Linked DNA regions of Saccharomyces cerevisiae S288C. The protein of the gene in region 2 binds, or shares a complex with, the protein of the main gene of each other region. Each region holds a gene or a part of one and is shown on either strand. Other genes may lie near its edges. A codon is read from its position in the direction of its gene.

Region 1 (4,192 bases), on a different chromosome or scaffold from region 2:
TTACATAAGATAGCTTCTTTGTAAAAGCCGTTCGAAGATTTCGTTTATAGTGATGCTTTTTCTGGAGAGATTTAAGATAATAAGGATATGTGGAAGGAAATGAAAATGTACACCTACAAAGCGTTGATGGTATGGAAACTATCGACCATAGTTTGTTAAACAGGAAATATTTGCTTGAGGGTAAAGTGTTCTGATTCATTATACAAAGCCCCTTGCTTATAAGAAAAGAAACCAAATCAGAAAAGGAGATTATTTCAAGGTAGGCATCGAAATGGCAAGTAACCAGCACATAGGAGCTTCAAACCTAAATGAGAATGAGGCTATATTAACCAACCGCGTTGCTGAGCTGGAAAGGCGTATGTCGATGTTTGAGGGTATATTTCACGCGTTAAGTAACCGTCTCGATCTTCACTTTAAAAAATATGATGTAGTGGTAAACTCCCAACAGCAACAAATCAACGAACTGACCGCGTTTTTATCAACATTGCTGAATGACCAACAACGCCACGCTGAAATTCTCAGTGAAAAATTAAGCGGAACGTTGCATGGGGTGTCAGCTACGTCAATATCCTTAAGCCAAACTCTTGACCCACAAGGCTTCACTGATGGAACTACGGCACCAGGAGCTCCTAGGAATTATACTTCAGTGCCTATGAATAATGATCAAACTGCTCATCCGCAAAATGAAGGAGCTGTTAGTAATGAAACACTTTTTGAGGACATTTTGAATGGAAATTCACAAGAAAATGATAAGAGTCAACAACAAACTAACAGCTCAAATTCTATAAGCCAAGAAAATAATAGCACCAACCCTTCAGTGGACACTCGGTTCAACAAGCCGCAAAATTATAATTCCAATTTAGTCCCATCCTTGGAAGAGTATTCAGCAAATCCACCTAACAATGATGGTGGCCAAAGTCAAGGACTGTACATAAGCAGCAACTCTTCTCAATCACGGCAGTCTCCTAATCTCCAGAAAGTTTCTCCTAACCATGAAAATGCGGTTGAATCAAATGCACAAGAGAGCGTGCCGACATTTGAGGAGGAACAGTATGAGACTAAAACAGGATTGAAACGGAAACGAATAGTCTGCACAAGACCCTTCGAATTTATCAAGTCACCACACTCTGTGATGGAGGTTTGGAAGGAGTATACAGAAGGTGTTAACGGGCAGCCTTCTATAAGGAAAATGGAAGCTCTTTATCAAACGGCATGGAGGCGAGATCCAGCAGTAAATAAAAGATATTCGAGAAGAAAGGTTCTTTGGAAAGCCATTCAAACTGGCCTTAATCGTGGGTATTCATTAAACTATGTTGTTGAAATATTAGAAAACTCAAGATATGTTAATGATAAACAGAAGGTTAAACAACCTATTGGTTGGTTATGCCACAGTTCTCATATTCCAGAGACTTTGAAGTGACATTTGCTTCTTGTGTATTCACCTTTATCCCAAATTAGCCCTTGTAACACTTATGCTTTTCTTAATAAATTAATAATTGGACTTTCCTTTAAAGTGGGTTGTATCTGTAACAATAATCTCTAATAATATCCTATAAAACTCAGAAGTCAGCCAACAACAATTGTATACGTATACATATCTATATAATATGCCTTGTACTTTACGCTCTTGAATTTAGAATAGCTGAACACCTAACTGAATTTAAGTAAAGGATCCCAAGCGTGAGATATTTAGGTTTACTCAGTTTTCTTATCTTGCCTTTTGATTATCACGTTGAGTGTCGAAGAAACCTGTATTCATCCTCGGCTTCTTGTATATGATTCTAAAATAATGTGTGAAAAAAAAAATAAAATAAAAAAAAGAGGAAAATAATATAGAATAACTATTAAGTTTCATTAAAAAAAAACCATTTGAATATACGACCAAAAACGTTACGCTTTCATAAAGTGTGAATAAGCAAGGGAACTATACTTGAAATATGGGGGCAAAGAGTGTAACAGCCTCTTCTTCAAAGAAGATTAAAAACCGGCATAATGGGAAAGTGAAAAAGAGCAAGAAAATCAAGAAAGTACGGAAACCACAGAAGTCTATATCCTTGAACGACGAAAACGAAGTAGAGATTTTACCTAGTCGTAATGAGCAAGAGACAAATAAATTACCTAAAGATCACGTCACGGCGGATGGAATTCTTGTATTAGAACATAAATCTGATGATGATGAAGGATTCGATGTCTACGATGGACATTTCGATAACCCTACTGATATTCCCTCGACTACTGAAGAAAGTAAAACGCCTTCATTAGCAGTGCACGGGGATGAGAAGGATCTTGCTAACAATGATGATTTTATCTCTCTTTCTGCTAGTTCTGAGGATGAGCAAGCCGAACAGGAAGAGGAGAGGGAGAAACAAGAATTAGAAATTAAAAAAGAAAAGCAAAAGGAAATCCTTAATACTGATTATCCATGGATTTTAAATCATGATCACTCCAAACAGAAAGAAATCTCGGACTGGCTAACCTTTGAAATCAAGGATTTTGTTGCCTATATCTCACCAAGTCGTGAAGAAATTGAAATTCGTAATCAAACCATAAGTACAATAAGAGAGGCTGTCAAACAGTTATGGCCAGATGCTGATTTGCACGTGTTTGGATCATATTCTACCGATTTGTATTTGCCTGGTTCCGATATTGATTGCGTGGTAACGAGCGAACTTGGTGGTAAGGAAAGTAGGAATAACTTGTATTCGTTAGCAAGCCATTTAAAAAAAAAAAATTTGGCAACAGAGGTTGAAGTTGTCGCCAAAGCTCGCGTTCCAATCATCAAGTTTGTTGAGCCACATTCAGGGATCCACATAGATGTTTCATTTGAGAGAACAAATGGTATTGAAGCAGCAAAGCTTATTAGAGAGTGGTTGGACGATACCCCCGGCCTGAGAGAATTAGTCCTTATCGTAAAACAATTCCTACACGCAAGAAGACTAAATAATGTGCATACCGGTGGTCTTGGTGGGTTTAGTATTATATGTCTTGTCTTTTCCTTTTTGCATATGCACCCACGTATAATAACTAACGAAATAGATCCAAAGGACAACTTGGGTGTGCTCCTGATAGAGTTTTTTGAACTTTATGGGAAAAATTTTGGTTATGATGATGTTGCACTGGGATCATCGGATGGATATCCAGTATACTTTCCAAAATCGACATGGAGTGCTATTCAGCCTATTAAAAATCCATTTTCATTGGCCATTCAAGATCCAGGTGATGAATCAAATAACATCAGTCGAGGGTCCTTTAACATTCGAGATATTAAAAAGGCATTTGCTGGTGCTTTTGATCTGTTGACGAATAGATGTTTTGAATTACATTCAGCAACTTTTAAGGATCGATTGGGGAAAAGTATATTGGGAAACGTGATCAAATATCGTGGAAAGGCAAGAGATTTCAAGGATGAAAGAGGTCTAGTACTGAATAAGGCTATTATTGAAAATGAAAACTATCACAAGAAACGTAGCAGAATAATTCATGATGAAGATTTTGCCGAAGATACAGTTACCTCCACAGCCACCGCTACCACAACAGATGATGATTATGAAATAACGAACCCACCTGCTAAGAAGGCTAAAATAGAAGAAAAACCTGAAAGTGAACCGGCCAAGAGAAATAGTGGAGAGACATATATCACTGTCTCTAGCGAAGATGATGATGAAGATGGATATAATCCTTATACCCTTTAATATGTGCCTTTTTGTTTAAATGATGCACTGAACTGTACATCACTGTGTACCTGGATAGAATGTGTGTTTAAATATGCGTATTATGTATTAATAATTGAATTTAATTTTACTTCTGTTTTTCTTTTTATCGCTGTGAACTTTTTTGTCAAGAAGTCGCTCTTTGTTGGCTTTCTCTTTTATTTTATTCCATTTCTTTGAGGTCTCAGCAGTGGTATCATTAGGAAATTGGCACGTTTGCCGAATTTCTTGAACCAACTTCTCGAAGCATTTTAATTTGTTGGTTTCCCTTGACCTAGTTTCATCAGATTGAATTACTATAGAATCGCTGCCCTTAGCGTAGTATCGAAACCTGCCGCTACTTAAGATGTTTCTCACTTCCTGAGGAATCCAAGCACAGTTTGATAAACCAGAAAGTGTCAAAGTACATTTACTATTTACCTTATTAACGTTTTGGCCTCCTGGCCCGCTGGCTCTATCGTAACGTAAAATAAATTGATTTA
Region 2 (5,764 bases):
CTCTGTCATCGCCTCTTCAGCTACTCTATTCGGTTATTTGTTCGCTAAGAACCTCTATTCTAGGGAGACTAAGGAAGATTTGATAGAGAAGCTGGAAATGGTCAAAAAGATCGACCCAGTAAATTCTACGTTAAAGCTGTCCTCATTGGACTCACCAGACTATTTGCACGACCCGGTTAAGATCGATAAGGTTGTTGAGGACCTGAAGCAGGTGCTGGGAAACAAGCCTGAAAACTACTCTGATGCGAAATCCGATTTGGACGCCCATTCAGATACCTACTTCAACACGCATCACCCCTCTCCCGAGCAAAGACCTAGGATTATATTATTCCCTCATACTACCGAAGAAGTTTCCAAAATTTTGAAAATATGTCACGATAACAACATGCCAGTTGTACCCTTCTCGGGCGGAACGTCCTTGGAGGGGCACTTCCTGCCTACAAGAATTGGAGATACCATAACCGTAGACCTGTCCAAGTTTATGAATAACGTCGTAAAATTTGACAAGCTGGACCTGGACATCACCGTGCAGGCCGGTCTACCCTGGGAGGATTTGAATGACTATTTGAGCGACCACGGTTTGATGTTTGGCTGTGACCCTGGTCCAGGTGCACAGATTGGTGGTTGCATTGCTAATTCTTGTTCAGGAACCAACGCCTACCGTTACGGTACCATGAAGGAGAATATTATAAACATGACTATAGTGTTGCCGGACGGGACCATTGTCAAGACGAAGAAAAGACCCAGAAAGTCGAGCGCTGGCTATAACTTAAATGGTTTATTTGTGGGAAGTGAAGGTACCTTAGGTATTGTTACTGAAGCTACTGTCAAGTGTCATGTCAAGCCCAAAGCTGAAACTGTTGCGGTGGTATCCTTTGATACTATCAAGGATGCGGCCGCATGTGCTTCTAATCTGACTCAGAGTGGTATTCATTTGAACGCCATGGAGTTACTGGATGAAAATATGATGAAGTTGATCAACGCATCTGAATCCACGGACAGATGTGATTGGGTAGAGAAACCAACTATGTTTTTCAAGATTGGTGGGAGATCTCCCAACATTGTCAATGCTCTTGTGGATGAAGTTAAGGCTGTCGCCCAGTTAAATCACTGCAACAGTTTTCAGTTTGCTAAAGATGATGACGAAAAATTGGAATTATGGGAAGCTAGAAAGGTCGCGCTATGGTCTGTGCTAGACGCTGATAAGAGCAAAGACAAATCAGCTAAAATTTGGACAACTGATGTAGCTGTTCCTGTGTCGCAGTTCGACAAGGTTATTCACGAAACTAAAAAGGACATGCAAGCTAGTAAGCTGATCAACGCCATTGTTGGTCATGCAGGTGATGGTAACTTCCATGCATTCATCGTCTACAGAACCCCTGAAGAACACGAAACCTGTAGCCAACTTGTTGACAGAATGGTCAAGAGAGCACTGAACGCAGAAGGCACTTGCACGGGTGAACACGGTGTTGGTATTGGTAAAAGAGAGTACTTGCTCGAAGAATTAGGTGAAGCACCCGTCGATTTGATGAGAAAGATTAAGCTAGCTATTGACCCAAAGAGAATCATGAACCCGGACAAAATCTTTAAAACTGATCCAAACGAGCCCGCTAATGATTACAGGTGAGTATCTGATTTTCCTTTTTCACCCTTCACGTAAACCTGAAATATATTTCATGTAATATATATAGTTCATCCTTAAAGAAAACATACCATTTCAAAATGCCCTTTCCCAGTAGCTAATACATGCTTAAAAATGTGATATATATTATTACCATCAAATGTATTCATGATCCGGGTAGTGCCTTTTTTTCCTTCAAACACTAATGGGATGGGAAGAAACATTTCGAAAAAAGTTATGACTATTGGCAGCATCAGAGAGAATTAAACCTTACCTGTACAACGATAGCAGCTTACATCACTTCCTCGCAGTCATGGAAAAAAATACGGCACCATTTGTCGTCGATACGGCACCCACAACTCCTCCAGATAAACTTGTAGCACCTTCTATAGAGGAAGTAAATAGTAATCCCAACGAATTAAGAGCTCTTAGAGGGCAGGGTAGATATTTTGGCGTAAGCGATGATGACAAGGATGCCATTAAAGAGGCAGCACCTAAATGTAATAATTGCTCTCAAAGAGGTCATTTGAAGAAGGATTGTCCCCATATAATATGTTCGTACTGTGGGGCGACGGATGATCATTATTCTCGACATTGTCCGAAGGCTATCCAGTGTTCAAAGTGTGATGAGGTGGGTCATTACAGGTCACAATGTCCACATAAATGGAAAAAAGTTCAGTGCACTCTTTGTAAGAGTAAGAAACACTCAAAAGAAAGATGTCCTAGTATATGGAGAGCATATATTTTAGTAGATGATAATGAAAAGGCTAAGCCCAAGGTCCTTCCCTTTCATACTATATACTGTTATAACTGCGGTGGAAAGGGGCACTTTGGTGATGATTGCAAGGAAAAACGATCATCTAGAGTACCTAACGAGGATGGAAGTGCGTTCACTGGTTCTAATTTGTCAGTTGAGCTAAAACAGGAATATTACCGTCACATGAACAGAAATTCGGACGAAAATGAAGACTATCAATTTAGTGAGTCCATATACGATGAGGATCCACTACCGAGACCTTCCCATAAAAGACATTCCCAAAACGATCACTCTCATAGTGGCAGAAATAAACGTAGAGCATCGAACTTCCATCCTCCTCCTTATCAAAAGTCTAATGTCATTCAACCAACTATAAGGGGCGAGACGCTGTCACTCAATAATAATATTAGTAAAAATTCACGGTATCAAAATACAAAAGTAAACGTCTCGTCGATATCGGAGAATATGTATGGCTCCAGATATAACCCTTCTACTTATGTTGATAATAACAGCATTTCCAACTCTTCCAATTACAGAAACTACAATTCTTATCAACCATATAGGAGTGGTACCTTGGGGAAAAGAAGATAACTTTAAATAGGAAGCCCTTTAACAAGCTGTTCTTGGTTACATTATATTTTCTTAATGAAAGATTAAAGACAATACCTAATTCGACCATTAATCAAAATAGCATGTAAATTTCTTACATCTTCTTGTTGTGAAAAAAAAAGGCCTTCGTGCAATCACAGGTAATAATAATAACATATACATACATATACGTAAATACGTCTTATAACTCCTGCTACCTCATACGCTATTTTCTATTATGGCTAACATCTATGCAACTCAATTTAGTCTCTTTTTACCTTTTTCACAATGAATGTATAAAGGTCCTTTTCATCGTAATCTAACCTTCTTTTTTGTGCATTTAAACCGTCATAATCGATTAGAGCAAGTTTGTCGACAAACCGATCTTTTCTATTTAGCTTTAGTGAATCGCACAGTTTTATTCTTCCTAACCTGCAGTTTTTGAAAAATTCGCCTTTAAGAACAGTTATCTCTCCTGCCATTGATGTTACCACCAAGTGAAACGTAAGGGCGCAAACATTGTCTGTGCCTACGTCTATATCATTAATTATAACAATTGTATCATTAATCAATCCGAAATCATGGGGTATTATCCGAATAGTATCCTTGGAATTCCTTAACAAATTTTTGGTATTTTTTATTTCAAATCTATTTATCAACAAAACTCCATGTGTGTCCAATATAAAGCATAAAGAATCATCCAGCATAAATAATTTCTTGAATGAACATAAATTTCCCAATGCCTGCTTGAATTGAGCTGTCTCATCATCTATCACTTGGCCATCCACCTTCATTTGACTTTCTGCCCACTCTTCTTCATTAGTTCCATTTTCAGAGCCATTTTTGTTCGATAATGAATCGATTTTAATTATTGGTTCATCATAGTACCGAGGTCGGAATGCACTCAACGTGACGAAATGATCGATGCACACAATGTCCATCTTTTTGTAATTATCTGTTAGAAAAGAAGTCATTGTTTCATCACTTTCATCTGTAGTGTTATCATCTTCATTCACCCCATCATTTCCATTTCTATGAGAAATCTTTTCAACAATTTCAAAATCTACCATAAATGTATTCCTTCTTAATCCTCGGATAAAAGAATCTAATTCCCACTTCGTTGAACAGGGTACATCCATTCTTTCTCTAAAAGCGTCTCTAGTTAAGGCTTGAAAAGATTCTCTCCTTCTTCGACTCAGCGGTCTCGGTTCGCTGCTAGCAGTACTGAATGAAGAATTTCGGCGACTACTTCCCAGCATATCTTGAGTGTGGAATAACTCATATATGTCATCTTTAGCGTGACCTTGACGCTGTTTCCAGACGATTCCTGAATCCAGCATTCCTGTTCCAGAATATTTTACAATATCATCCCAAATGGTTGAATTTATAATATCCGTATCGAATGTAAACTTGTTACTAATCCAGCTGAACAAAGAACCAAATCCATTTTGTTGCGCTACGTTGTCCCACGAAAGTATCTCACCGCATGTATCTCCCTGTATACTGTTCTTTAGGCTGATAAAGGTGCTTAAAAATGTAACATAAGTCAATGGTAAAATTATTTTCCTTATAAATAGTGGTGATCGTGGCGATACTGTCATGAAACAAAACCGGTCTAATGGATTTATATGGAATGTGGAAATACCTCGTTCTATATGTAAATACATCGAAGGCCTATATATGGGCAGGCCTTGATACATATTGCAAAACGAAGATACCACGGGTGACGATCTTAAATGGGATGGTTCTATAGGCAAAAGGAAGTAGCAGATATGCTTAGAGCATGACCTTCCAGTGTACCGCGTACTACCTTCAAATAATTTTTCTTCTTCTGAAGAATGTGTTGTATTATTATCGTGATGTACTTTGAAAAAGCAATCTGGAAACATGGGGTTGTACATGTTCTTATACTGAATGTAATCAGTGGGAAGGTTCATTACAAAGACATATATTCGACCGGAGCACATACAACAATATAATAAACCTTGACTATATTCAAGACCAGCGATCATATAGTCACTAAAAAAATTGGATTCGAAATCTTCCGGAGTACATCTAAGGATATAAGAGGGCGCTAATCGCAGGCCATTTTTTATCTTGTATTGATAGTTGCTTATGATTTCAATGAATCCGTTGGATTTAGCCAGCACCATGTAATCACATGAGTCCAAAATATGCGTTGCGTCTGGAGATATTGACGTGTCTCTACCATTAGGCCTTAAATAACAAAACGCTTGTATATTTGCATTCACATCTACTTTTGTACAACCTCTTTCTGATGGGACCAGTGCTAATCGATCGTTTTTAAATTCAAATAACCTATAACCAGACGGTTTACCCTTAGTATTGCAGGGAGTAGAAACAGCAAATTGAATCCTGCCAGTAGCCATCGATAACAAAATGTTCAGATTATGTGGAAAGACGCTTTCTGCGTGTATTTAACAACTCAAAGTAAAACCTATCTTAACCTGGTTTTGTTCTATTAGATGCCATTCAACTATGGGGAAGGTATATTTGGATGTTTGTTAGCAATTTTCAGGAAGGCAAGTACTTAATACCGATCAGCTTACTATTGTTTTTGACCTTAGAGCTCTTTTCAACAAAGCTTCGCATTGTGAAAAGCAGACCCAAAACGGCAACTGAGAAAATACGGCACTGTGGAAATAAGTCATGCATCAATCATCAGCTGTAAAAAACCTTTAGAAAAGACATTATACAGATTCTTAGATAGGTATTGATGTTTGGTATTACTATTTTTTGGAGAAATGAGTAAGAATGTTGGTAAGCTAGTGAAAATA

Evidence for each region.
Region 1: the proteins of AIR2 (region 2) and PAP2 are in contact, whole or in part, in a crystal structure (PDB 3NYB), measured with the Saccharomyces cerevisiae proteins. Residues at the interface, in NP_010106.1 of Saccharomyces cerevisiae: Glu134 (codon at 2,334), Arg135 (codon at 2,337), Cys136 (codon at 2,340), Ile139 (codon at 2,349), Trp140 (codon at 2,352), Arg141 (codon at 2,355), Ala142 (codon at 2,358), Tyr143 (codon at 2,361), Ile144 (codon at 2,364), Leu145 (codon at 2,367), Val146 (codon at 2,370), His160 (codon at 2,412), Tyr163 (codon at 2,421), Cys164 (codon at 2,424), Tyr165 (codon at 2,427), Asn166 (codon at 2,430), Cys167 (codon at 2,433), Gly168 (codon at 2,436), Gly169 (codon at 2,439), Phe173 (codon at 2,451), Arg181 (codon at 2,475), Ser182 (codon at 2,478), Ser183 (codon at 2,481), Arg184 (codon at 2,484), Val185 (codon at 2,487), Pro186 (codon at 2,490), Asn187 (codon at 2,493), Gly190 (codon at 2,502), Ser191 (codon at 2,505), Ala192 (codon at 2,508); in NP_014526.1 of Saccharomyces cerevisiae: Glu174 (codon at 2,457), Ile175 (codon at 2,460), Ser176 (codon at 2,463), Asp177 (codon at 2,466), Phe354 (codon at 2,997), Met357 (codon at 3,006), His358 (codon at 3,009), Pro359 (codon at 3,012), Arg360 (codon at 3,015), Ile362 (codon at 3,021), Thr363 (codon at 3,024), Asn364 (codon at 3,027), Glu365 (codon at 3,030), Ile366 (codon at 3,033), Asp367 (codon at 3,036), Asp370 (codon at 3,045), Asn371 (codon at 3,048), Val374 (codon at 3,057), Ile377 (codon at 3,066), Glu378 (codon at 3,069), Glu381 (codon at 3,078), Leu382 (codon at 3,081), Lys385 (codon at 3,090), Asn386 (codon at 3,093), Phe387 (codon at 3,096), Gly388 (codon at 3,099), Tyr389 (codon at 3,102), Asp390 (codon at 3,105), Asp391 (codon at 3,108), Val392 (codon at 3,111).

The regions. Positions count from the first base shown.
Region 1 is NC_001147.6:99,538-103,729, forward strand, and holds PAP2 (non-canonical poly(A) polymerase PAP2), read left to right. Parts: upstream 1-1,937; coding exon 1,938-3,692; downstream 3,693-4,192. Other genes in the region: MSN1 (Msn1p), read left to right, coding at 272-1,420; PTH4 (Pth4p), read right to left, coding at 3,780-4,192. UniProt on the Saccharomyces cerevisiae protein: Catalytic subunit of the TRAMP complex which has a poly(A) RNA polymerase activity and is involved in a post-transcriptional quality control mechanism limiting inappropriate expression of genetic information.
Region 2 is NC_001136.10:141,689-147,452, reverse strand, and holds AIR2 (TRAMP complex RNA-binding subunit), read left to right. Parts: upstream 1-1,934; coding exon 1,935-2,969; downstream 2,970-5,764. Other genes in the region: DLD1 (D-lactate dehydrogenase), read left to right, coding at 1-1,627; GID12 (Gid12p), read right to left, coding at 3,230-5,356; YDL177C (uncharacterized protein), read left to right, coding at 5,732-5,764. UniProt on the Saccharomyces cerevisiae protein: Component of the TRAMP (TRF4) complex which has a poly(A) RNA polymerase activity and is involved in a post-transcriptional quality control mechanism limiting inappropriate expression of genetic information.